Linked DNA regions of Coturnix japonica. The protein of the gene in region 1 binds, or shares a complex with, the protein of each later gene. Links are inferred from orthologs where the notes say so. Each region holds a gene or a part of one and is shown on either strand. Other genes may lie near its edges.

Region 1 (2,444 bases):
AAAACCTACCTGCCTGCTGAGCTGCTTTGGGTGACTTCAGAGAGCCCATGCTCCCACACTATGAACCTGTTTTTCAGCTAACAAAGCTCCACTGAAGATGTTCATAAGAATCAGTCTGTGACAGTTTGCTGTGAATTCAGTGCAATGAAATCACACTTGTTACTCTTTTTCCTTTTTCAGTGAAATACCCTTGTGGAAAAATACCAGTGCTGGCAAAAAAGAATGTGACTGCTCGGGGCAGAATAGTAGGTGGTGTCACCTGTCCTCCAGGTGAATGTCCATGGCAAGTGAGTCTTCCACTAATATTTAACATTGTCATTGCTGTTTTTCTCGTGAAGCCATTCAGTATTTTAAACGTGTTATGTTAAAATGCATCAAAAGTGTAAGGTTTGGGCAAACCATCTACACCCAGCAGCTCTACCTGTTTCAATCACGCATCTCAGCCTGGTTCTGAATGCCTACTTTCCTAGGAGTTGAGTCGTAATATAACCTCCTCTGCTTCCTGATCCCTCCATTGTTAATTATACTGCTAAGAACTTGACCTAGGGATACACTCTTGGCCATAATACACAGGATCTATGCTTAAAAAATGGAGAAAATGTTGATCAGAAAACTCCTCCCTCCTAAATTCTCTGCAAAATCAGAATAGTATTCTCAAGCACAGTTGTGTATGATGACAGAAAGAAGCAAAACTGGACTCTATTGAGATACAAGTAAAAAACTTGCTTTCTGTTGGCAGGCCCTTATAATACAGGATAAGAAAGGGAAGTGTGGTGGTAGTCTGCTCTCGCCAGAGTGGGTGGTGACTGCAGCTCATTGCCTGGATTACACTCATACCAAACAGCTCCGCGTGAGGCTGGGTATGTATCTCCCTTCCCCGTGTTAACAAGCTGTTGTTGTCTTAATTTCTCCTTCTGAGAAACCAGAGTGAAAACCAAAAAGAGTCAGATTAGAAATCTCCTGCATCCACCCACAAGCTCCCAAGGAATCCAGTTTCTGGCCAACATGACTTGCAATCATTAACTTTTCCAGGTGAATACTCAATAAAAGTTGATGAGAAAACTGAGCAAGAACGTGCAGTTAGCAAGATCATCAGACACGAAGAATACATCAATGGACAAGTCAATCATGACATTGCCCTCTTGAAGCTGGAAACACCCGTGAATCTCACCGATTTTGTGGTGCCAATATGTTTGCCTGAAAAACGGTTTGCAGTGTACGAGCTGTCCTCCATTAAGTTCTCAACGGTGAGCGGATGGGGACGGCTACTAGATGGAGGGGCTACTTCTACTTTTCTGATGCGAGTTGATTTGCCACGTGTAAAGACACAAGAATGTGAAAAGCAGGCTAAGTTAAACGTCACCGAGAATATGTTCTGTGCAGGAGACCTGACTGGCAAAAAAGACTCCTGCAAGGGAGACAGTGGTGGACCTCACGCAACGAAGTATAAGAACACCTGGTTTCTGACTGGGATTGTCAGCTGGGGAAAGGGTTGTGCTGTTGAAGGCAGCTATGGGGTTTACACAAGGGTATCCAGATACATCGACTGGTTGAAGAAGCACATGGAATGACAACAGTGAACCAGAGCATTTCCTTGCCTTCATCCCTCTGTGGCATTTTCCTACTGAAGCATTCCTCCGTTAACTCAGACACATGGTAAAGGTGATATTGTTCACAGTTTTAAATGAGCCTAATGCCTGCCTGAATAGATAAAATAACTTTGATATTGTTGTAAACTTGAATGTCTTGTCAAGAGGCCACAGAAAGGCTCTATCAAACCAGATGCAGAGTCCCTCATTCTTCACCCATTTTCTGGTAATAGAAAAGCTTGGTGCTGAAAAACACTGTCGGTAATGTGTTGAGTACACCGTGATCCTTCCTTGTGCTGCTATCATGGCTGCTGGTAATCAATGATGTACAGACTTCCTGAGCAAGAAGTTGCATGAGTCTGAGAGGTCATGAATGAACCCATTTGCCATACACATGTGCAATCTCATTTACACTTCCTGTGCTGATAGGTCCTGCAATACAATGAAGCAACAGCAGGGGAAAGAGAAATGGTGTTTCTTTTAGCTTATGGTGAAGAAACTTTCTTTTGCAGTTCCAGCAGGTGGATTTGAGAGGGAGGAATTGCAGAACATCCTCAGGACAAGAAATCCAGTAAAAGATTAATTCCACATTTATGGGTTTGCTAAGAAAACTTGATTTTAGTCTTCTTTCACTAAATATTACTGCAGTAAGGCTACTAACAATACATTTATGAGTATTGTGATGAAGACTACCACAGATTTAATCCTACATTTGCCTTCTTGTATAATTGGGATTCTTTCAAGTCATGCTGAATATCAGATCAATCACAAAGGCTTATCAGTATGTAGGACACTCACAGTTGACTCTGGTCTAGCACTGGGAGAGAACGCTGTTATTCTATGGTACATGTGATA
Region 2 (4,206 bases), about 41 Mb from region 1:
AAAAATTCTTTGCCTGGACAACATGAGTTTGGGATGAGGCACAGCTACTCATTCTTTTCATTCTATGAAGCTGTTACTACCAGTAACAGAAACCGCGTAATTCACTCACTCCTCTGTAGTTCAGTCAGAGGACAACTCCAGCTGTACATTCAGAAGGCTGTGCTGACCCTAGCAGCTTCAAAGTCGGTGTTCAAAAAGCCCTTCAAGGTAATTTATTTCAAGGGTTGCACATATACACCTCTAGTCTTTGTACGTGGGAACCCCTGCCCTCCAGTCACAAAATCTACTCCTGATATTAGCATCTACTTCTGGCCTTCCACAGATTCAGCCTACGCATAGCACCCAAGTTTATCAGCTCGATTACATTCAGAAGAACTACTATCCTCCACAATTTTCAACCCTTAGGAAACCCTCACACTCTTCCTCAGCATGTGCTTTTCACCATTGGCCTGCTGTTAAGTAACTATTTCTTTAGTATAACCTACAGGTACCTACAGCCCTTACAGTCTCATGCAGATGAGGCCTTTGTAAGTTTAGGTGTTGGCTCCTGTGGCTAATCACTCAGCCTTTATGCTATAGATACCAGTTTAATTTAAATGTAAGTATACAATTGCTTGAGATGGAACAAACCTTAAAGGCCACACAGTCCAACTTCCCCTGCAATGAACAGGGGCACCGCAGCTCCATCAGGTGCTCTGAGCCCTGTCCAGCCTGACTTTGGGTGTCTCCAGAGATGGGGCACCCACCACCTCTCTGGGCAACCTGTTACAGTGCCTCACTGTTGTTACTGTAATAAACATCTTCCTGGTATCCAGTCTAAATCTTTTTGTTTGAAACCATTTCCCCTTGTCCTAACAGCAAAAGCCCTATTAAATAGCCTGTCCCCTTCCTTCTTACAGTCTACCTTTAGACGTTGAAAGGCTGCTCTCAGGTCTCCCCGCAGCCTTCTCTTCTTGAGGCTGAACAGCCCCAGGTCTCAGCCTGCCCTCATAGGGGAGGGGCTCCATCCCTGGGACCCTCTTTGTGGCTCTGCCCTGGATTCGCTCCAGTAGGTCCATGACTCTCAATGTAACGGCTCCTCCCCACGGCAGTGAGGCCACAGCACCTCTCCCTGGGATCCAAGAGCAGCAAAAGCAGATCTGGACTAGGAAAGACAGCTTAAGACCACATATATACACAGATCCCATGAAGAGCAGGCGGGCTGTTCCACACTCTACCTTAAGAAGATCAAATTCATACAGGAATCAAATTCATACAGGACAGCGTTTGCTTACACCCAACCTTTCTAGAGGTGCAGCGGCGGGAACTACAGCTCCCATCCATCCGCTCAGCAGCACGCACCCCTCCCCTCCCGCCGCCATCTTTGCGGGGCCGCCATCTTTGCTCAGGGAGTCACCGCCCCCCGGCGGCCAGGCGCGCAGGCAGCAGCATGGAGCGGGCGGCGCTGTGGGGGCTGCTGGCCGCCGTTGCTGTGTGGCCTTCGGGAGCGGCGGATGGTGGGTCAGAAGGTGAGTGAAAGAGACGGGCCGTGGGGAACACCACGGGGAAGAGAGCGGCTCTCCCTAGTTGCCTTTTATAGGGCGGCCCAGCACATGTAGGAAGGAGGGGCTGCCAGGCCCAGCCCTCCCCTCAGTCCTCACCTGGGTGTCCCGGCGGTGCTTTCATCACTTAACTGTAGCAATAGAGTCATTTCAGAGATAAAGTCCATGCAGTTCCTTGTAGTTACATAGCGGGATGCAACTAGTGCAGTGCAACAGTTGTGGTTCTCTAATGTGCGCTCAGGGAGCCCGGTTTGGTTTAACAGCCTGCAGGCAGCAAGGCTGTGCTAAAGGAACCGATGTCACTGCTCAGTAGGCAGCGTCAGTGGAGCAGTTATGGGTTGAAGGGTCAGGGTTCTGTCAGCAGGGGAATGGTCAGTGTCAGCCGTGCTCTAGTTCAGCTGTGTGGGCTGAAGTGTGTCCCAGGATCGTGGTGCGTCGCTATTGCCCTGCTGCCAGCTGGAGAAGTGCTGCTCAGCTTCTGCTGATTGCTCTGGTTGTTTAATGAATTAATGCCTTTCACTTTTCCTTTCTGTGTATTTTAGATGCCAAATGGAAAGCAATAACAGATCAAATTAACAGAGCTGTAGAAGTCTATAAGCCATGCGTAAAGGAGAATTGTAGCTGCTACCAAAGGTAAGAGATTAGTTTCCTTTTTACTGAACAGGGCTATGGTCATGATCACAGCACTGATAGATGGGAGTTAGCTGTAGAATATGTGTGCTCTAATGTAGCACATCTGCAGCCAACATAGGTTGCAGTGCTTACAAGGAGTTTATTAATGGCATTGTGTGAAACTTTCATAGTTCCAGCATGAGTTGTGTCCACCTGCAGATTGACCACCGTGCTTGTTGTCCTCTGTGACTGAACAACATAAACTGAGTCAGCATCTCATACGTAATCACACAATAATTCCATACACAGCTGGTGATATTTCTGTATTAGAAATCCACTCTGCATTCACCCTCTGTACAATATTTGTTGCTAACAGGTTTATCTGATGGACTTTTAAAACTGAGGGAAATAAATATATGTAAATATTTAAAAGAGGATTAAGAAGGATAATTACAGAACATGGATTTATTTGGCATGATGCTATGTGGTACTTGCTAACTTGTGGAACACTTGTATACCATAGTGACAGACATTACTAAAGAGTCCAGAAAGATAATACAGTACCTACACTGTATGACACTAAGAAACTCAGCTCATTTTGATAGCTGATCTGGAGAGATGCAAATGTGCAGCAGAATAGTGAAAGCCAGTCCCTTTCCTTAGATAATGGATTTTACTTGTGTCAGATTTTCTCTGGGTGGCCAAGAACTGAAAATTCTAGCCTGTTATTGACAATAGAAAGGTAGCAAACAGCAACGTGGATGCGCTATAAAACTCTTTCTTCCCGTTCTCCAGCTTGTTACATTTGCATCCCTGCTTATATACTTTGTCAACCTATCTGTACTGTAGCAATTCTTGATGTAGTTTACATTTTTCTGTCTGATACAGAATAACAGAATCATTGACCTCGGAGGGGACCTTTTGAGATCAAGAAATCCAACCTCCCTGTTCAAGCAGGGCCACCTAAAGCAAATGGACAGGATGGTGTCCAGTCAGACCAGAGACCCCACTACTTCTCTGGGCAGTCTGTGCCAGTGTTTTATCACTCACACATTTGGTTCATCCCCTTCAGATGGGTCTGTGCATTAAACCAGGCCATTGATGCAATGTCTACTAAAAAGTAGAGGGGAACTCTCCATGGCTGTTACCGTCTGAGAACAATTGTTAACTGCTCCAAGCAGTTGGATCTGGGGGTCTTTAGACTATATATAAACTGCATTCTCTGTCTGTATTTTAACATATCGGTTAGGTTTATGTTTTCTATTTTCTATTTCTACTATATTCTAGGAGCTCACCAATGACATGCAGATATCACAGAATACAGTCTATATAGGCTTGTTCTCCTGGACTAGCTTTTACTGTATGCAGCATTACCCAGTAATCCTTGTGACTAGACTGTTACTTACTTTTTTTATAAATTTTAAAATTGACATTTAGTGAGGAATTTGGTCTTGGTGTAGCCCACCATTATTGGAAATCCAGAACACAAGCTTCAGAACTCAAAGTTTAAGTGAACTGAAAGCTTTTATCCATAACCTGTCAGGGTGTTTAATGCCTATTTGTTTTTTGGAAGAATAACTGCAGTGAACCACATTGATTTAGTTTGAGAGTCCGGTGCTGGGTTTTCTGTTCAGGCAAACAGCACATAGATCATCACAGAGCAAAGCTGGGACTTTGGAGTCTCAGAGTAGTGGCTGTTTCAGTTGACTTAAGTTGAATCCTCTGTTATGCCATGTGTAGCAGAGCTGGAAGCCACATAAAGTTTGTTGTAACTAGAAACCTTTTCTGTATGCTGCAGTACTTTAATGTGCAGCATCCCCCAATGTACCTAATGATGGCTAATTGTTTTGTTTCAGTGTCTGGAAACAGGACCTGGCTCCTTTTCGAAGTGGCATTTCCAAGGAGACAATATCAGATGTGGTAAGCCGGAAGCTTGGAACACACTACCAAATCATTAAGAACAAGCTGTACCGTGAACATGACTGCATGTTCCCTGCAAGGTAAGAGCCACACAGAAGATCCTGCTTCCATACCTGGCACATAGGAATACTTC
Region 3 (3,917 bases), on another chromosome or scaffold:
AGAATAACAAATATCAAATGCAATTCTGTAAAATATTTTTTGTTATCAGTTCTCATAGATGCAGTTATGCCTCCTCAAAGGCACATACATACCACTGAGGTATACAGCCAATTAGTGTGAACTGCTCGATGCTTTTTTTTTTTCCTTTCTGTTTTGGTTCTTATCCCCATCGTTAGCAGCAGCAATAGGTTGAATGTTGCAGCAGTTATCAGCCTGGGATCAAATCCCATACTGCCGTGACTGAAAACTACTATCAAAAGTGGTAAAGATATCAGCGTGGGGATTCCTAAGCAAACATCCAGTTGGGCATCCAATATACTTTCCATTAGATTAAGCTGATTCTGAATAACCACTTAACCGAACAGAAAGCTGACCAGCAACTTGGGGCTCTTCAATACCTATCATTAGTTCATGAAGTATGGCTTCTCATATTTTTGTCCTTGCAGGTAGTGGGTGCCCTGCTGGTTTATTTCACGTGGTCCTGGCTGGATTTCTGACAACTTGTGTAAACTTCAATCACAAGGTAAGTTTCCTAAACACATTTTTAACTTGAGTTCCAAAATTAATATTTTACTCCATTTAAAAAAAAAAAAAAAGAAAAGCTTTATTTTCCCAGTCACCTTTATTTCACTAGAAAAGTATAAATTACTATAAATACAGGTATCAGCAGTATAAAAACTAGATTGTCATCCATAAAATAAATATTAAAACAGTCATAGCAAAAAGTACCTCTGAATCCCATCACCAAGATGATTTGAATCTATAATACATAAACAGTTGATTTACCATTTAATTTTAAATAAAGTTCAGTAACTACTGCTCCTTACTCAGTGTTTGCCTGAAGTGAGTTACTATTCCCTCAGGCTGAAGTATTTATCCTAACACTTACTTGGAGCCAACAGGCTACCCTGTCTGTGGAGCTGTAGGTGTAGTGTAATCCAGATATGCTTTCCATATGGTTAGCAGCTACCTACTGCAAGAACATTAGTGGTCACCAATGTGTTAATTTGTTTACTGCTGATTGGATATATCCAAAGATAAACAGACCACGACAGTTTTATCCAAGAAGTGCAGAAATGGCAGTAGCATCTTCGTACCGTCTGAACTAACAATCATTTCACCAGTTAATAATGTTGTAAGAAGGTCAGATAATTACAGGTTTTGTTTCATAGAAACAGAAAAATGGTCCTTTTCATTAGCAAAGGACATATTTTCAAAACGAGTATTTTTCTTCTCCTCACAAGTACTGTAAAGACTTCTGGCTCAGTAATGCTTATATTTTGAGAGTGCCTGGTCAAATCAAAGATCCATTTGATTCTAGCTGAGAAGAATGTATGAGGAGGGTAATTATGTTGTAATAGATCACCAAAATATTCTTCCAGCCTCCAGACACTGGAGACAGGGGCTTCCTGCTATCTGTGGCTTTCTTTTGTTTGTTTTTAAATCTGTGACTGTCTAGAACTTTGGTGGACTCAAAGATCCATTAGCTTCAAATTTCCTGTACCAGAGAGGCTAAAGGCTCCGTCCTTTTTTCTGCCTTTGAGTCTTCCACGAGTATCCACAACAGTTTTCCTTTAGACACCATTAAGTGGTTCTTTTTCTCTTGCAGTTTTTGCTTTTTTCTTGCGTTTACACAGGATCACCGCTAGGACAATGGCCAGAGTGATGACTGCAATTGCTACCACTGCTATGATGATAAAGACTTCTGCTCCGTATTCTGTAGAGTTGGGGAAAAAAAAAATAATCCGAGGTTAAGTTATCAGAGACAACACGTCACAGCGCTACAAATCCTTACACTGAACTAAAATATGTACCATGGAAGTAGAATGGTTACCCTAGTGTGAACTGAATTTGTTTTAGAATGAATTTGTTGAAGTAAAGCTTTATTTCATGTGGTTCACAGTGGGTTTTAATCTAGATAGTACAACAAAATAAATAATAAGAGTAGGTCAAATCATTCCCCCAGTCTCTGCATTATCTCTGTGGAACCAACTCTGAGTATTTTTTTTTTCTAGGTTAGAAGCTAGAAAGTACCAATAAAAGATATTCTTATTTAAATTGTAACTTACTAGAATTTAGCTACTGTGATATTTAAAAGCATATACTTTAGATAATAAAGTTAATTAGAAAGCAAACTTCATAAGAGGTTCTCTATTTAAAGTCCAAGTTGCTTCATCTAATGGAGAGAAAACAAGCATGATAGTATTGTGATACTATTTAATAAGTATTTAAGACTTTATACGGAAGAAAGTGTTATTCTGGCCTGAATAACACTGGCTGATTCACTGTCTGCTCACATATATATGAGAAGTCAGTCTGTCAGCTGACATGGCAATATAACACTAAAGAGAGTCTTAGCCTCATCAGTACTTTTGAGAGAATAAATTTCAGTTCAAATTACAAGTCAATGGAAATGCCTGTCATTCAGATTTCCAGCACTCCTATGCTTTAGAAATAATCAACCACTTGCACTCGCTGTGGGATCACTTGTATCAGGTGGATTCAAGGGAAGCAGTGGGGGAAAAAAAACAACCACACAAGAAGCCAAACAAATAAAGAAAATAAAGCTGAAATCTAGTGATGAGACTTGAAACTCTCGTGACCAGTCAGCAGCTCTGACAATTTAAAACTGAAACAAAGCAGTTCAGCAAAACTCTACAGCCAACTCCAGCTAGCTAAAGATGGTGGGTCCTTATCTAATGGTGTTCTTCCTATTAGTCTGTGGTCCTTTCGCTTACATAAGTTCATTCGTAACTTAGGCATCACACATTACAGAGTTATAAAACACATTCAAAACTGAAGTGTCTTTCTGTTGGAATGCTGAAGGCAGCGCAATGCTCTTCACTAGATACATACCATCTAAAGTAGTTCTTCCTACAGTGGTACAAAGCACTGTGCTTTCTTGACCATTACGATTTTCTCTGCGAGAGGGAATGATTCCCTGTATGTAGAAGCAATAGCTATTTTTGTTGTCAATGCTTACATCAAACGTATTGCTTTTGGTTGTTGTATCTTTCTGTAAAGAAGAAAACATTTATCATTTCATGTCCTCTGCGAAATTACGAGTGCTTTTAAGGCAGCAGAAAAATTATATAGCTGTTATGTATCTACAGAATATGTAGAAAAGCAGAGTAAGGCCTCACCTTTCCAGAACTTTGATCTTTCCAGTAATAGAGTTTGTATTCCAGGTCGTGTTTGAAAATATCTCGAACACTTTGAAAGCTTCCGTTAGGAAATGTATATGGTGTAAGTGGATCACGGAGCACAACACGCAGTTTGGAGTCTTTTTGTGTGTAGTTTTGGATCTCCGGTTTTCCAATAATAGCTAAAGAAGCATTTTTCAGAATTAAAACACTGGCATCACTTCTTTTTCCCATTCTCGCTTGTTCTACACTTCCACTGTTTTCTACAAAATGTGCTCTTTCCCTCCCTTAACTTACTTCCCTTCTCAAACAGAAGAGTTTACTCAGCCAAGACAGTACTGGTAGTAACAAGTATCTGTACCTTGTACACAATGCTGATAAAATGGTGAACAGTGAAGTGAGAAACAAGTATTGGCTAAAATCTCACACACTGCTCTGCAACAGGGAAATAAAGCTTTATGTCTGAATGCCATCTTCTAAGACATCAGTAGGGCTACTGAAGAATCTACAGGAGCAAGCTTTAGGCCAAATCCAAATCTTGTTTAAGTCAATGAAAATCATCTTGAAAGGAAGCTAATGAAAAGATTTAATTGGGAACTCTACTTACTCTGATTATAAGGTGTGAACTTTTCAGAGCTTGCAAAAGGTGGTTCTTCAAAGTCGTCCTCTACCAAGGATTTTACAGATAATACATGTGCTGTGTAGGTCTCTTTTACATTCCGGAGTGCATCAGTGACATCGCACTCTGTTTCTTTAGTCATTATGCATTTTTTT

The links.
Region 2: the proteins of F7 (region 1) and POGLUT1 are in contact, whole or in part, in a crystal structure (PDB 5L0S), measured with the Homo sapiens proteins. The link is inferred for Coturnix japonica from reciprocal best matches to the Homo sapiens genes F7 and POGLUT1. Residues at the interface, in NP_000122.1 of Homo sapiens: Asp108, Gln109, Cys110, Ala111, Ser112, Ser113, Pro114, Cys115, Gln116, Asn117, Gly118, Gly119, Cys121, Gln126, Ser127, Tyr128, Arg139, Asn140; in NP_689518.1 of Homo sapiens: Met103, Phe104, Pro105, Ser106, Arg107, Arg132, Asp133, Pro171, Ala172, Trp174, Pro178, Thr179, Thr214, Asn239, Gln240, Ala241, Val274.
Region 3: the proteins of F7 (region 1) and F3 are in contact, whole or in part, in a crystal structure (PDB 6R2W), measured with the Homo sapiens proteins. The link is inferred for Coturnix japonica from reciprocal best matches to the Homo sapiens genes F7 and F3. Residues at the interface, in NP_000122.1 of Homo sapiens: Leu73, Lys78, Phe91, Arg96, Leu99, Phe100, Ser103, Ser120, Lys122, Gln124, Leu125, Ile129, Cys130, Phe131, Cys132, Leu133, Pro134, Phe136, Glu137, Gly138, Arg139, Lys145, Gln148, Ile150, Val152, Asn153, Glu154; in NP_001984.1 of Homo sapiens: Thr49, Asn50, Lys52, Ile54, Glu56, Trp77, Lys78, Ser79, Lys80, Phe82, Tyr83, Glu88, Asp90, Asp93, Gly141, Gln142, Thr144, Glu162, Arg163, Thr164, Leu165, Arg167, Phe172, Tyr188, Trp190, Lys191, Ser192, Ser194, Ser195, Gly196.

The regions. Positions count from the first base shown.
Region 1 is NC_029516.1:123,942,330-123,944,773, reverse strand, and holds the end of F7 (coagulation factor VII), read left to right. Parts: intron 1-180; coding exon 181-287; intron 288-739; coding exon 740-860; intron 861-1,032; coding exon 1,033-1,571; 3' UTR 1,572-1,844; downstream 1,845-2,444. UniProt on the Homo sapiens protein: Initiates the extrinsic pathway of blood coagulation. Serine protease that circulates in the blood in a zymogen form. Factor VII is converted to factor VIIa by factor Xa, factor XIIa, factor IXa, or thrombin by minor proteolysis.
Region 2 is NC_029516.1:82,808,247-82,812,452, reverse strand, and holds the start of POGLUT1 (protein O-glucosyltransferase 1), read left to right. Parts: upstream 1-1,302; 5' UTR 1,303-1,429; coding exon 1,430-1,508; intron 1,509-1,640; exon of another isoform or gene 1,641-2,083; coding exon 2,084-2,174; intron 2,175-4,009; coding exon 4,010-4,153; intron 4,154-4,206. UniProt on the Homo sapiens protein: Dual specificity glycosyltransferase that catalyzes the transfer of glucose and xylose from UDP-glucose and UDP-xylose, respectively, to a serine residue found in the consensus sequence of C-X-S-X-P-C.
Region 3 is NC_029523.1:11,730,345-11,734,261, reverse strand, and holds the end of F3 (tissue factor), read right to left. Parts: coding exon 3,751-3,917; intron 3,326-3,750; coding exon 3,144-3,325; intron 3,017-3,143; coding exon 2,857-3,016; intron 1,718-2,856; coding exon 1,575-1,717; 3' UTR 604-1,574; downstream 1-603. UniProt on the Homo sapiens protein: Initiates blood coagulation by forming a complex with circulating factor VII or VIIa. The [TF:VIIa] complex activates factors IX or X by specific limited proteolysis.